Mytilus edulis: one gene and its partner. The protein of the gene in region 1 interacts with the protein of each later gene in a pairwise test. Links are inferred from orthologs where the notes say so. Each region holds a gene or a part of one and is shown in the gene's direction. Other genes may lie near its edges.

Region 1 (7,089 bases):
TTTGAGAAGTTGGTTGGTTTATGATTTTTTTGATTTTTTCTTATTCAACAACAATATAATGGCACATGCTGTTAACAGATTTCTTCACTTGTACAGCTATTTCAGTGGAGATCCCTGTGTATAAGTACCTTAAGACTAGGGTATCCTCAGGTAGTACCTTAAGACTAGGGTATCCTCAGGTAGTACCTTAAGACTAGGGTATCCTCAGGTAGTACCTTAAGACTAGGGTATCCTCAGGTATATACTTATAATTTTGTTAGTATACATTATTTATCATTAATACATAATTTCTCTATTATTTTGCTATTCTAACTTTGAATATGAAGATTATGTATATTTATGAAAAAAAACTTTATTACACCATCAATTGTTACTATTTGATAGATGTCAAGAATAAAACTGAATAGCGGATTATAGAGTGTGTTTGGAATTTGGTTTGAGGTTTTAATATATTTCTATGTTGTCCAGTATAATGGTTTTTACAGTTTTTTTTGTGTGGATTAATAACTTTCACCACATGTTTTTGATTTCTACTATAATTATCATTTCAAGTTTATATTTTTTACCCATCTTGTCGATAATTTCCATCTCTGTCAGTAACTGTAGTGGATCTTTTCCCTTTAATACAGCCTGTCGTACTAGCATACGCTGCTTCTTGTTCTACAATTAAAACATAAATCATTTCAAATAAAGGGAAACAAATTTTACAATAATTTTTTAATTGACATACATATCAAACTATAAAACATGAATTGTTTATCATATATATGTATCATTGGACAAAAGTTAAAAGTTAAAAATTTTAAATAAATTTCAGGGCTATTTTGATTGATCTGAAATAACGGGAACAGCAACTTTTTATAAATTAAAAGCTGAAATTATAGTAAACATGGTAAATAGTTACCTTTTTTAATTCCCTCTTTCTTGCCTCTTTTCCTGTAAAAATAGAAATATGATACAAGACATTAACACTAATTTACTTCAACAACCAGCATGATAAAAGAATCATTTTTTTCTTTAATGCTTTATGTAACTCACTCATAAACATGATAAATAGAACCCCAAAAATTCTGTCATTAAGAATGAGTTGCACCAGCCAACCGGAGATGTTGTACATGTTGTAAATGACATAATCCAACAACTGGTTCTTACTGAAAGGTAATAACATAAGCATTGTAAGATAAAGAGTATGATCTTAGAAAGTCATCAAGAGAGCAAACAAAATTACTAGTTATTCTGTTACACGAGAGAGGTTTTATCTTTAACAAGCTACATTGTATATATAAAAGAGCAGAGTTCCAATGTCCCCTGTGTCGCACATATTTTATCTATCCAAGGGCAATTACTGAAAAGAATTTGTTCTTTATTATTTTTACAAATACATGTTTCTTTAGAGAAATGAAAAAATATTTGATCAGCACTGATTTTCAGCCTGATCATCAGCCTGATCAGAGATGATAATGAACCATAGTATATATCATGTATATATATATATATAGCTATAACAGGTAGAGTACTAATCATAAATCAGTTATTTTGGTCCAAACTTTAATTTGTAACAATTATGGATAAATGATATCAGTTTGCATTTCTGGGAACAGTTCATAAACCAAGTTTGATCCAACATTTGCTTCACAAGAAAATACCTGTATCAAGTCAGGAATTACATTCATTTAATGGATTTGATCTTTTAATTTTGCAATTTGATAAGGGTCCTAAGATTTCCAAGAGAACTCCCAAGAATAGAGTAATGACCAGATAACAAATAGATGTTTCCGAAAAACTACCTTGAAAATAAAATATGGTGTTATACTGCTTTTACCAATAGACATGATAGACGTATTTACACTTGTATGCAAATTTATCTCTCAATGAGTAAAATCACAAAAGTTCCTGTTTAATAAGGGATTTTTTGCCTTGGGGTTCAGTTTTTTTGTTAATCTACTTCTTATAATATATATATGTAGGACTCTAAAGTGCGATGGTCTACGCTAAAGTATGATGGTGTATCACGCTAAAGTGCGATGGATATTTGTTTGCTAAAGTTCGATGGAATATCACACTGAAGTGTGATGGACCAAAAGGGTAATGTTGACTGGCAAAAAACGTTGAAGAACACGGATGGAAAAAAAAAGAAAAAGAACACAGATGTTAATTAATAGTCTTTTTGCAAAAGCTAGTAGGATTTTTTTTTTAAATTCAGGCATATCAAATATTTTGATAATTAGCATAGCTTGCAGTTCACATGTACATGTAGTCTATCCCTTATGTGATCACCTTGTCATCGTAAATTACAAATACAAAATTCGTTCATTCATGTCATGTAACATTTATTTGTTTAAATCTTAATTCAAATGAGAGAGAAATGCAATGTTCTCCGAGCTTTCTCCTTTTTCACAGCGAGTACAAATACAGGTTGTATTTTCCTAAAATGTACAAAATAATGCTTTAGCAGACAATTTATGATTTATGCATGAAAACATGTACCTCTACTTTACCGACTTTTCAATAAATTGACAATATTTTAACAGGGACCGCAAAGTAAACTGTAACATAAACAATGATTTCAATGTATCAGTTAACATTACCTTCTAATAGAAGCAAGAAAAAGTATACTATTACTTGTGGCTATAACAGTCTGCACCAAAAACTTTTTCAACTACTAGTATGAAGACCAATATTCCAACATTTTTCTTATTGGTCCAACAAAGTTTTGCAATAACTTACTAGTCCATATAAAATTTTACTAGTCTTGGGCATCGGACTAGTGGCTAACTGTGCAGACTGGTATTATTTTGTATCTGTATAGTAAAATGCAAGACACTGTCAACGTATATTTGTTCTGCCTAACAGAAGTTCCAATGGAAACTTTGTTATAAACATTGTCATAATATCTTTTCTTGTTGGAACAAATATTCTATACCACTTCCAGAATATTTTTTCCTTTTGGAACTTATATTATGAAGGAACTTCTATTCCGTGACAACACAAGTCCTTCTTCCAGCACCCGATAAAAAAAACCATTTGCATCAGCAGACAAAGCACGGGTAGGTTTAAATTAAGTAAGTCATGGACATTTGGCTAAAGTTGTCAATCAAATATTCTACGTTTATCTTTCAGCATGTTAATTTTTTTTGTATAAACGACACGTCATAATCCATAGTACGTTTATTACTTCTATACTATCGCTGACCATCGCACTTTAGCGTGTGTAGGCATCGCACTTTAGCAAAGACCATAGCACTTTAGCGTGACCATCGTACTTTAGCGTCCACATTGCACTTTAAGTCCTACATATATATATATATATAGGCTGTTTTTTTAGGTTTATGAGTTTTCAAAGTGAATTGGTTATCAAGGGTAGTATATGCTTGTATGTTTCTCTCATGTCTCTTTGCGATGTGCTGATGGATCGTTGTACAATGTACATGTTGATGCTTGTTTGAATTGTGTTTATAAGTCTTCTTTTTGAAGTTCAATTAAAAAAATTGTTAGTTATAGGGTACTTACTGGCTTGGTCAGTGGGATTCATATATTTCCCACTTTTAGTGGTGTTAATTGAGCGGCGTCCCATGTTGGTATCTGCGTGATGACACCAACTTCAAAATAATGTTACAAAGTTTGCTGTCAGTCGCAGTAACTTGCAAATAGGATTGAGTGCTAAACTGAAACCAACAACATATCTGAAAATTGATAAAAGTTGTAGTCCTGCTCAATTGATACTACAATATTCATTTAAACGTCGAATTTAAAGCGTGATATTTTTTTCCATTTTTATCTTGCCGTAAGTGGAGCTAATGTTGCAAATAAAAAAGTTTTGTTATTGTTAATTTTTTGCATATAAGAATAGGCTGAATATACCGTTTGAATTAATATAAAACGCATTTATATCTTAAAATATTTCTGTATTTAATAAAAATAAAATAAAAAAATATTACGACATAGTCTTGCTCTTTTTGATGCTTTATCAAAGGAAAATTGTTATGGTTTACACAAAAATCAAATTGACTACGAATGCATAAAAATTAGCTGTCTGCTTCCCAGGAAGCTCAAGAAAATTGCTTTGTTTTGCCATTTAGGAGTAATAAGCGACCACAAAATGTCACAGACAAAGATATTCAAAGCAGACATCGACATGAAGCTTGAAAAAGTACGATTTTTCTATAGTTTTTTTCATGATGCCTTGATTGAAATTATATGGGTGGATCATAACATTTGCTATCCATCAGCAGCTGATCAGTCATACTCATAAGGTTGCTATGACTTTCAAATTTTCCAGATGCAGATGTTTGTCTGTACTCATTGCAAATTTTGAGGTGAAAACGCAGCCATTTTAGTCAAAGGGTAACCAATTTCACTTAAACCTTAAAGCAGACTCAAGAACTAGAAAAAAAAACATTAACTCTCATATAACAACATAGTGGGAGGATAGGATCTTTATCGGGACTCCAGGATCAGGTGTTTTTAAGCTCAGGATTTCAGGATCACATTGAAACTCGAATTTATTTATATTCAGGACCTCAGGATTTCGTGTTTTTAAGCCTGTGATTTCGGGATCAGGACCCCTCTTAGCTGCCCTCAACATACATACATCCATGGACTTTTACAGTCATTCAAACTTTCTATATACAATTTGACAGTGGAACCAGTTCCCCAGGTACCATATATACTATTTGCATCTCATTACAGGACATCACAAAGGTTCCTGTTAAATTTTGACGTCATAATACAAAATATCTGAAGCCACAATTGAAAAGTGATTGTTACATGATGTCAATAGTTCAAGCGGAGCAGATTCTCTGGTCAAACGGGACATATTTCCAAATAGGGATACGATGTATTGATAACATGGAACAGCTCACTTCAGCTGCTGGTCTATTAATAAACTGATAACACCAAAAAAGACTGACAAATCTACATGTAGTACACCAAACACAACATAAAAAAATAAAGACTAATTGACACAAACCCCACTAAAAACTGGAGAAGATCGCGGGTGCATTGGAAGTGTTAGCTGATCCTGCTCCACGTACGGCACCTCTTGTGTTTCTCATGTTAGTAGAAACCAGGTCATACATGTACATGTCATATTTAAGTCAAAGCAGTATTTCATACTCTTGAAAAGGGAACAGGCTTGTACTAAATTACTTACCACATAAGGCTCATATCTGCTACATGTATATCATCTGTGAAATTGATATTCCATAACCATGATAACGGTCAACTAATTAGTGATGGCTTCCGTAAAATTTACAAAGGGATGATTTATAATTTATCACATGGAAATTGTCCAATCTGTAATAATAAAATTATTTGGTGCAACTACCTTATCAACCTCCAATGTACAAAATGTTTACGTAGCAGGAAACATTTCAGTATGTTATTTGTTGCATTAATGGGGTAAAATAAAATCTGTTTCTTGCCTCCCAATAGACTAGTTTCTAATATATATGTAATAAGTAGATTTAATCAATGAACTGCCCAATTGGTCTAAGGATATTGTGAAATGATTTGTGACGTCTAATTATTCTAGGATAAAGCACATTTGAATTGACAAATACAAATTGCTGTTGTAGTTGTACTTACATATTGTATGTATGGTCAAAGAGAAAAAAAGACAAAATGACAAACACTGGTCAACAAAATATTTACATGAATTTAAGACACACAACGCAAAGCTAACTTATAACTATGGATAAGGCAGCTTTTTTAGGCCTTGTCCCCTGTTAGAGTAGACAGGTCCTGCTACACTAGTGGCACACCATGTTATTCATTTACCACAAGGAAAACATGTTTTAATAGCATCCTTGTTTTATGAGACTGTCATACAAGTGAGAGGTTTAGCTAGCTATAAGACCAGGTTTAATCCACCATTTTCTACATAAGATAATGCCTGTACCAAGCCAGGAATAAGATAGTTGTTATCCATTCATTTGATGCCTTTGTGCATTGATTTTGCCATTTGATTAAGACCTATCCATTTTGAATTTTCCGCTGAGTTTAGTATTTTTGCGATTTTACTTTGTACTATCAGATGTCCATGATAATTTCTTCTATGTATTATTTGCATACATTGTAACTCTTCAACAGCCTGTGAAGCCAGTATTTCAAACAGTCAAAACTAATGTACCCACCTGCTGATAGTGTGAGTCGGCAATACCAAACAAACATTGTTTTAAGGGTGGCCCCAGCTATTAAAATTTTCTGGTACTTTTGATACATTTCTGCATGCAAATAATTGTAACCCTATAGCTATCCATTGACCTGTCAACTGAAGAATCTTAAGGTTTAAAAAAAATAAATACTAACTATGTCAATTATATTATTTTAGGAGAAGAACAATTTGTCAATACTTAAAGAGGCCATGAACAAAAGTAGAACAAACACCCATGGTATGCTAGGGATACTTAATAGTTTTGAGAATCGTTTACAGAAGTTAGAAAGTACAATAGAACCTGTTTACAATGAAACAGAAATGTTGAGACGCAGACAAGAGAGTATCCTTCTTATAATCAAAATTATAAAAATGTATAGTATTTTATTGTGCTACCTTAATTTCATGGTTCTTTGATCATGTTTTAGTTTAAGCTCTGATGTTAGATCGATGTCTAGGATACTTCAGTACAGAACAAAGATACAAAGTATGTACATCATCTTTTCATGATTTAATGAACTATCCAAAATACAGATCAGAAGGATGGTGTTATCAATGTATATTTGTCTACATTACAAAAGTTCCCCTGTTAGCTCAGATGCTCGATAATAAACAACACCATAATATTTGTTCCTTTTGGAACAAATATCCTATAACCTTCGTTCTGTTTATATAAACAAATACTGTAATATTTCTTCCATTTGGAACTTATATTATAAGGAATGTATAAAATGTTTTATTTCATGCCAGTGTGACCATATTTTTGTGAACTTTCTAATATATAATAGTTTTAACAACAGTTTAACCACATTTTGTGATTAAGTGAAAAATGTGAAATTTTAGACCTGGCATTAAAATGACCAAACATTCATGATTCATTGATCATTATCATTGATTATGAAGTTTTGGAAATTTTTCAGGTTGACTAGTTAATT
Region 2 (7,696 bases), on another chromosome or scaffold:
TCTAATCCTATAATTTTTGTTGAAACTGTACTGTAGTCCTTTCAAAATTTTGACAAATGAAAGAAATGTATAGTCAGGTGATGCACATTTTTCAATGCGTCTTCGCCAATTTTCTTCGTCATTGTCTAATCTTTAATTTTTGTTGAAACTGTACTGTAGTCCTCTCAAAATTTGGAAAAAATAAGAACAATAAGAACACCAAGTGTTTATTTGTTAAAAAGCAGTAGTAACAGTTACATTTGTATATACAAATTGACCACTTACCTAAAACTGCAACTTTTGACACAATACTGTAGATAACATCAACAATCAAGTATGAAACCCCTTACAGTAGGAATTACAATATAAATCATACTGGCATGAAGACAAATCTACTTATCAAGAGCTATATAAAATGGTCAACACTGCTCAGTTATCAAGGTACATCTATAAAGCTGTTGATCCTGATACCTTTGTTCATGTAAATAATATTATCATGTCTTAACCAATTTTCTTTTTTTCTATTTTTCAATATCTAAGAGCTGAAAATGTCATGTATTCAAATTGCTCTTATGTAACAAATGTTATTCTAACATAGAGTCTGAGCTATATTGATTTTAATAATGATTTATAAAATATATCTTGATAAATAAAATTTATTTTATTTACCAACTGCAATAAATGCTGGTTAACACTTGAATATTTTTGCTGTAAAATTCACATGAACAAGTAATTTCCAGGCAAACTTCAAGCCATTAAAAACAACCATCACTATACATTTGTTTATTCTTGATTACAAAGCTGTCTTTACAGAATTACATATCAAAATGGATTGTTCCTTCTTTACATAGTACAACTGACTGTTATAAAATGAAAATATTTGGTGGTATTTGACATATTTCTGCTGTAACAACTACAACACACAAAAGTCAACAAACTAAACATAAAATAATTTCTATCTCATCATACATATGTTTACCACTTCCATTCATACAAATGATGTTGATAACGCAGGTCAAACAAAATTAAAGATCAAATGCTCTCACACCCGGCCACCAATGAGTATGAAAAAAGTGTTCTTGGAAATTTTTTATTTTTTTCACTTTCAATTTGAAATAGAAGCCCTTTCTAAAAGCCATAACAAACAAAGTACATTATGTTCTCATATAAAATATTATGATCAAGTGGGACAATACGGCCCTCTAATTTTATTTTGCTTGGCCTCATGAAGAAATGATAGCTATATGTAATGTATTACACCAAAAATGTTGCCTTTAGTTTAATGTATATGTTATATGAATAAACCAAAAGGCTTGTTTTTATGTGAAAATAAAATATGACCATCTTAACTGTTTTTCTGTAGGTTTTCTCTGTTTTACATGTACCCAGTACATTTAACACATTGAGAACACTTCGAGAGTTTACAATGGTCAACTTATATCTCCTTCAATATGAACAAAAGGAGATTAGAATGAAATATCTACAAAATAGCAACCAGATATTACAATTAAACCAAAGCCTAATTTATGATCTCTTACAATTGACAAGCATGAGGACTATTCCATTTAAATGGTTTTGAGAGGGCAAGAAGGGGCTACCCTAACTCCACAAACAACCAAAATAATATGGATTCGATATTATTTGTAAGAAACAAATTTTCATGGATTTTGTGAGTAGAGGCGAACCACATATTCAAATGTTCAACAAACCACTAATTTTCTATAGACTTGTATGCAGACTTTTGTAAAATCACGAAATCCAAATATCCACGAAAATGCATTTTTTGGTTTAATCTATGAAAATTGGTACCCTCTGTAAATATAGAAAAATAAAATATGGATTCTGAACATTTCTTTTTTTTACATTTTTGTAGGTTTTACTGTATTTCATGTTAAAGCAGGTTTCACAAGTAAAACTGTGAGCTAGTGCTCACTGATGATACCCGCGATGAAATATTTCGGAATACTGTTTTTTTTTTTTTTTTTTTTGTTTTTTTTTGTTTTTTTTTGTTTTTTTTTTATAATATGGATATATGGATGGCTGTTAAAATTTAACTTCCATTGCATGCAAATCAAATATATATTCAGGGCGAGTACATTATAATGCGATATGAATATGGACCCTTCTTTGTGCAAGACCTGCATGCTGAGCCGAACTTTAAGCTTCTAATTCACGAGACACGATCTAAAACAGTCCTCAGGAAGACAAGTCACCCTAACCAGACACGTTAATCATAATCCAGGCTGACATGTTCGCTCTTACTCCTAGCTAGGGTGTCACGCGTCTAGCGGAGTAGCAGCAAATACTCAAGTTTCAAGTCTTTGGTTTGATCCAGTCCACGGTACCATGCGACCACGCCGAGTGAGGCATTGTGTTTTCTAAGTACTTTATTACTGATATAAATCAATTTTGAGATAGCAACAGTGAGCAAATTATAGTAAGTGCGTACCTACTTCCTCTTCCAGAAAAATCGCTGAAGAACGTGTTTTAACAACGACTGAACTTAAAGATGCTACTGAACACCAAAGGCATCAACTATAATTAAATTGAGAATGGAAAGTGGAAATATGTCAAAGAGACAACAACCCGACCAAAGAGCAAGACAACAACTGAAGACCACCAATGGGTCTTCAACATAGCGAGAAAATACTGCACCCAGAGGTGGTTCTCATCTGGTCCCTAATTAAAATTGTGTATATTAGTTCTCAATCAGTGAAAATGGACGTCACACTAAACTCCGAAACATATAAACGAACTAAAAATTAGAAATACACACAAGACTAACAAAGGCCAGAGCTTTCTGACTTGAGACATGTTTTCCTAAATAACACAAGAAATCTTTTTTTTTTAAATCTAGGTTTCAAATATTGTAAGATATTAACTTTTCCATCAGCCTTAAACGCTTTTTGTTTTTATGTACTAGTATTAGACAGTTTGTTTGTTTGTCTCCGTTGACAGTTATGATTTCTATACTTTGTTTACGACACTTTCTCATAAACGCTTCACTTAATTGTATCACAAATATGGAGATTTCTTGCGGAAGTAAGACACCCCACCTGACAAGAATTCATAAAAACAATGTCAACTAGATTTGTAATTGCTAGCAATAACGGATGGCACCCTTCCCCCATTGCCAGGTGAGCGGCAGCCATTTTGAAAAATTCAAAGTCAAAGATAACATATACACATGCCAATTAACATTTTTGTAAAGTTTCGTCAATTTTGGAGCATTTTGAAATTTTTGAAATTTTTGCTATTTCAATGGTTACGGGTACCATTTCCAAAATTTCAAAGACAGAAGCAACTTTGAGACATGCCATGTAACATATTGATTAAGTTGTAGAAGGTTTGATTTAATATTCTTGCAGGAACTGCAGCTTCAAAATGTTTTCCCTTAGGGCCAATGTTAAACCTTTGCCCTGTTTCCATGACAATGGTGGCCATTTTGGGATTTCCTAATATTGTCACAACATCTAGGCATACCAAGGAACATTACCATAAAATTTCATCCAGCTAGATCTTATAATGAAAGATTTAGAAATTGCATTTTTTTTCACATTTTATCAGTTTCCATGGCAACGGCAGCCATCTTGATGATGCCATACCCCGTTTGCACAATTTCATATAGTGGTCTACATTATGGTATAGTTCCATCAATATTGTTCAAGCCAATTCTGAGAAATAGCATGGACAAAATGTGTGGAAGAATAAATAAAATAATAAGAAAAAAAGAAACGTAGAATAACAATATGTCACCCAAACTCCGTTTAGGGTGCCATAATTAACACTGAGCTTTTTACGTTAATATTTATACTTAGGTACATACATGTAATAGAATTTGTCTTTCAAGTAAATCTTTTTTTTTTGGCCCTAATAGGCGCTGCCTTTTTGTTAGTAACGGTTGTACCAGTAGTGTAGCTTTGTAGTTCAATCATTGCATTGTATTTTGGGGACGAGAATGCTTCGTTTATATTTTTTCTAGATCAGTACTAACATATACTTCTATACTGATGGAACTATATTACTATTAAGTACACTGAATAGTCCAGGATTGCATTGAGACTTTATCGATGGTTAGAAATGAATCACTATAGATTATCAGAAATTGGAATAATAAAAGATTCTATAAGTAAAGAATTTAAATGAATTTATTGACTGGTATTTTTTTTAACATAAGTCATATTTATGTCTTTTCACAATAAAAAAACCCCTATCTTTTCGGTTATTGATTCTTCTGGGACTGACCAATATCCGAGACATATATGTCACTAAAATGATATACAGTCAGTGGACATAAAAGAGTTCCCACTCAAAAAATGTCCTATCATTTCCAGTAAAATCGATATTTATCAAAAAAATATCCCCAGTCACTTTATTTTCTTTGTGTTCACCTCGTCAGAAAATTAAATGAAGCGATGATGAATAACATCTTCGCTTTTCACAAAAATAAATCTAGGGGAGGGGTCTGAAGGAACTTTTACTTTTTACTGGCAATTAAGTTGACCCCACCATGCATAAGTTTTTAACAATATTTCCTTTAAATATTAGAACAAGCTTTCTTAAATAACAATCACCCATCAAATTTTGATATTAGTGCTTTCCTATATCATATCTATTTTTTTTTTATATTTATATATCGATGTGGACTTTTTTTTAGTGGCCACACTATTATCCGGATTAATTTCCGACTATAGATCTGAATTTATAATTTCATCACGTGACATATTCAAAATGGCGCTTTGCTGTGCAAGTAAGAAAGAAAAAGAAAAATCTAATGTTTTCTCATATATTTCGAATCCCAATTACATCTACTGCATTTCAGCAATCGCTACAAGTTAACACAATATCAATGAATGTCTACATTCAATTTATATTTCAGTACTTCTCAAAATACACACCATACAACAACATGCTTGCCATGCCGGCTTAAAACAGGCATGAGAATCGTAGATTAAAATGATGCTTATGGATACAAATTTATAAATGAGCATTTTGTTGAGGTGGTAACATCAAACATTCAATCTCAAAGAAATCTTGTTAACACCAATGAAATGTCACATGTAATTGAATACCTAAATGATTTGAATTGCCTTTTGAAAATAAGGAGATTACGGTACGATGCCAAAACACCTTATCGCAATTCGGAGATCTACCTGTCTACCTAAGTTTTTCCATACACAGGAGATCAGTTTGATCCTCTATATTTGGCTCTGGTTCATCGTCACTAACTACACTTGTGCTACTTCCGGTGTTATAGGTGTATTCAGTGTCAAAGTTTTAAATAGGGCTCTCCACAGTTAGTTCAGCCATATTGGATAGGGGGCAGATTTTTATCAAAGAGTTGGAAACAGTATGAAAGTATGGGAAATCCTATGCATGTTTCTAAGCAACTGCTCTATTTTAACAATGTATTCCCTCATTTTTCACACTACTTTTATCTCTTTAGTGACAATCTGCCCCCTATTCAATATGGCTGAACTAACCGTGAAGGAGCCTATTATTGGGTGTTCTTTCCAATGTTTCTCTAGACGATTTCCAAAAATCTTTACATTCTGCTTGATGCAAGTTTTAACATGGGTTTAACTTTGACTCATACAACAATCACTTTTCCATTGTGGTGTCGGATATTTTCTGATGTGACTTCAACATTTTCTGGGAACCTTTGCAATGACCAATGTCCAATTGTTTCATATTTTCATGTTGGGGCCTTTTATAACCAACTATACAGTACTTCCGATTTATTTGATCTTTGGCGGACAAATAGCAATAAGGTGTATGACAACTATCCACCAAAGATCAAATAATATAGGAAGTAAGAAATTACATGTATATGGCTTTTAACTATGAGAAAAACAATACTGTATAGTTGGTTATAAAAGCACACAAGTACATGTAGAATAGGCTTTTCTCATCAAGAAAGCTTAGAACATATTGAGAATCAAGCAATGATTGCTTATTGTTGATACAAATGACACATATTCTTTTAGTCAGTAATGAAGTTCCAGAACAGCCAGTTATATCTCCTGTGTCAGGACATGTCTATGAGAAAAGACTGATAGAGAAATATATAAAGGAGAATGGAGTTGATCCAATGAATGGAGAATCAGTAGCTGTAGAAACACTCATAGAAATAAAAGGTAAGTAGCATGACTTGTAATGAAAATAAACTTACAAAATTCAAGTGTATGCTTTCAAAAGGGGACATGTAATAGGAAAGAAAAGAAAATACACTTACAGGATTCCTGTACATGCATAAAAAAGGAGGACATGAACCATAAACGATGTATGAAATGGAGAAAAAAGGTTATTTAATGACCTAATAACATAATACAGTATATTGAAATATAAGATTAAGGTACATGGACCCTTTATAAAAATGGTACAGAATTCAGGAGGTTTTAAAGATATGCACTCTTAATAGAAAATATAATTAATACTGAAAAAGAATGCTCTCAAACATTATCATGATTATGCAGCAGTAAAAGTTTGCATGTAATATTTAGAAAAAGTCATTGCAGTCATTCTTATTGACCAAAGGAATCAACGTCCTGAGTGGTGAACAACTTTAAATAAAGAAGATTCTGGGTATTTCCCAGTGCAACAATAATCCAATCACAAAAATAATTGAAAGACATCTAGAGGTCAACATACAATTTTCCCCTGTAGCACATATAGGTAGAGTGATATTTAGTTAACCTCATCGAAATTTACAAAATTGTTTACAAAGTAAATCAATTCTTGTTTCACAGTTTTGTTTATTTTGAACTCTCAGTCTGACATTAGATAAAAAGCTCCTGTTTATATTTCAAATTTTTGATTTGACCAATCCTTTTTACATCAGACCAAGAAAAAAAGAGAAAGCATATTCCAAATTTACTGATTTTTAATATTATCTCATAGGATATGCTTTCTGATAATATTAGTCTTTCTTAAATCATTGTAAATGTGAACATCTGTGTTCTCTTTAGAAAGAAACAATAAAGATCATTAAATGGATTGAACAAATTCATCATGTAAATGATTAGTTCGTCATGTTTTTGGATAATATATTACAAGTGTATTTTGTTATTTTTAGCTAACCCTCTAGTAAAACCAAGACCTGCTTCTGCCACTAGTATTCCAGCCATTTTGAAGGTTTTACAAGATGAATGGGTAAGAAGTTTATCTGTTTTAACACCCAATCTATATAAATTAAACAAACATTCAGACATTTAGTTTATCTGTTTTAATTAAGTCTGGTTGTATACTTTCATAACTTTCAGATGCTTTGAAGTGACTTTAATGAGATTTGCTGCGGATATATATTCAAATTAAAAATGAAGATTCAAAAAATATCATTAGCCTATTTACAATCCATAAGTTTAAAAGAAAAAATAATTATAGGTTTATTTGAATTTTTTTGAGATATAGAACATGTAGAATATTTATTATACCCCCGCTTTAAAAAAGGGAGGGTATACTGTTTTACCTCTGTTTGTCCTTCCGTCAGTCCCATGAATATTTTTTTTCATCGCATTTTTCTCAGGAACTACAATACAAGGATTTCTGAAATTTGGTTTCAGGGTTTATCTAAGTCAGCTATACCGTGTGATGCATTTTCAGATTGATCACTCAACAACTTCATGTTTACCGAACACTTGTATGATTTTACACATGATAGCCAAGTTGAAAATTTTCGTCACATTTTTCTCAGGAACTACAATACAAGGATTTCTGA

The links.
Region 2: the proteins of exocyst complex component 7-like (region 1) and pre-mRNA-processing factor 19-like interact in a two-hybrid assay, tested with the Homo sapiens proteins (2 studies listed by BioGRID and IntAct, with this or other methods). The link is inferred for Mytilus edulis from reciprocal best matches to the Homo sapiens genes EXOC7 and PRPF19.

What each region holds. Positions count from the first base shown.
Region 1 is NC_092352.1:1,656,848-1,663,936, reverse strand, and holds the start of exocyst complex component 7-like, read left to right. Parts: upstream 1-3,992; 5' UTR 3,993-4,099; coding exon 4,100-4,150; intron 4,151-6,331; coding exon 6,332-6,497; intron 6,498-6,582; exon of another isoform or gene 6,583-6,641; intron 6,642-7,074; exon of another isoform or gene 7,075-7,089. Other genes in the region: WW domain-binding protein 11-like, read right to left, coding at 567-660, 905-936, 3,511-3,574. UniProt on the Homo sapiens protein: Component of the exocyst complex involved in the docking of exocytic vesicles with fusion sites on the plasma membrane.
Region 2 is NC_092349.1:80,858,139-80,865,834, forward strand, and holds the start of pre-mRNA-processing factor 19-like, read left to right. Parts: upstream 1-4,669; 5' UTR 4,670-4,710; coding exon 4,711-4,729; intron 4,730-5,966; coding exon 5,967-6,116; intron 6,117-7,054; coding exon 7,055-7,131; intron 7,132-7,696. UniProt on the Homo sapiens protein: Ubiquitin-protein ligase which is a core component of several complexes mainly involved pre-mRNA splicing and DNA repair. Required for pre-mRNA splicing as component of the spliceosome.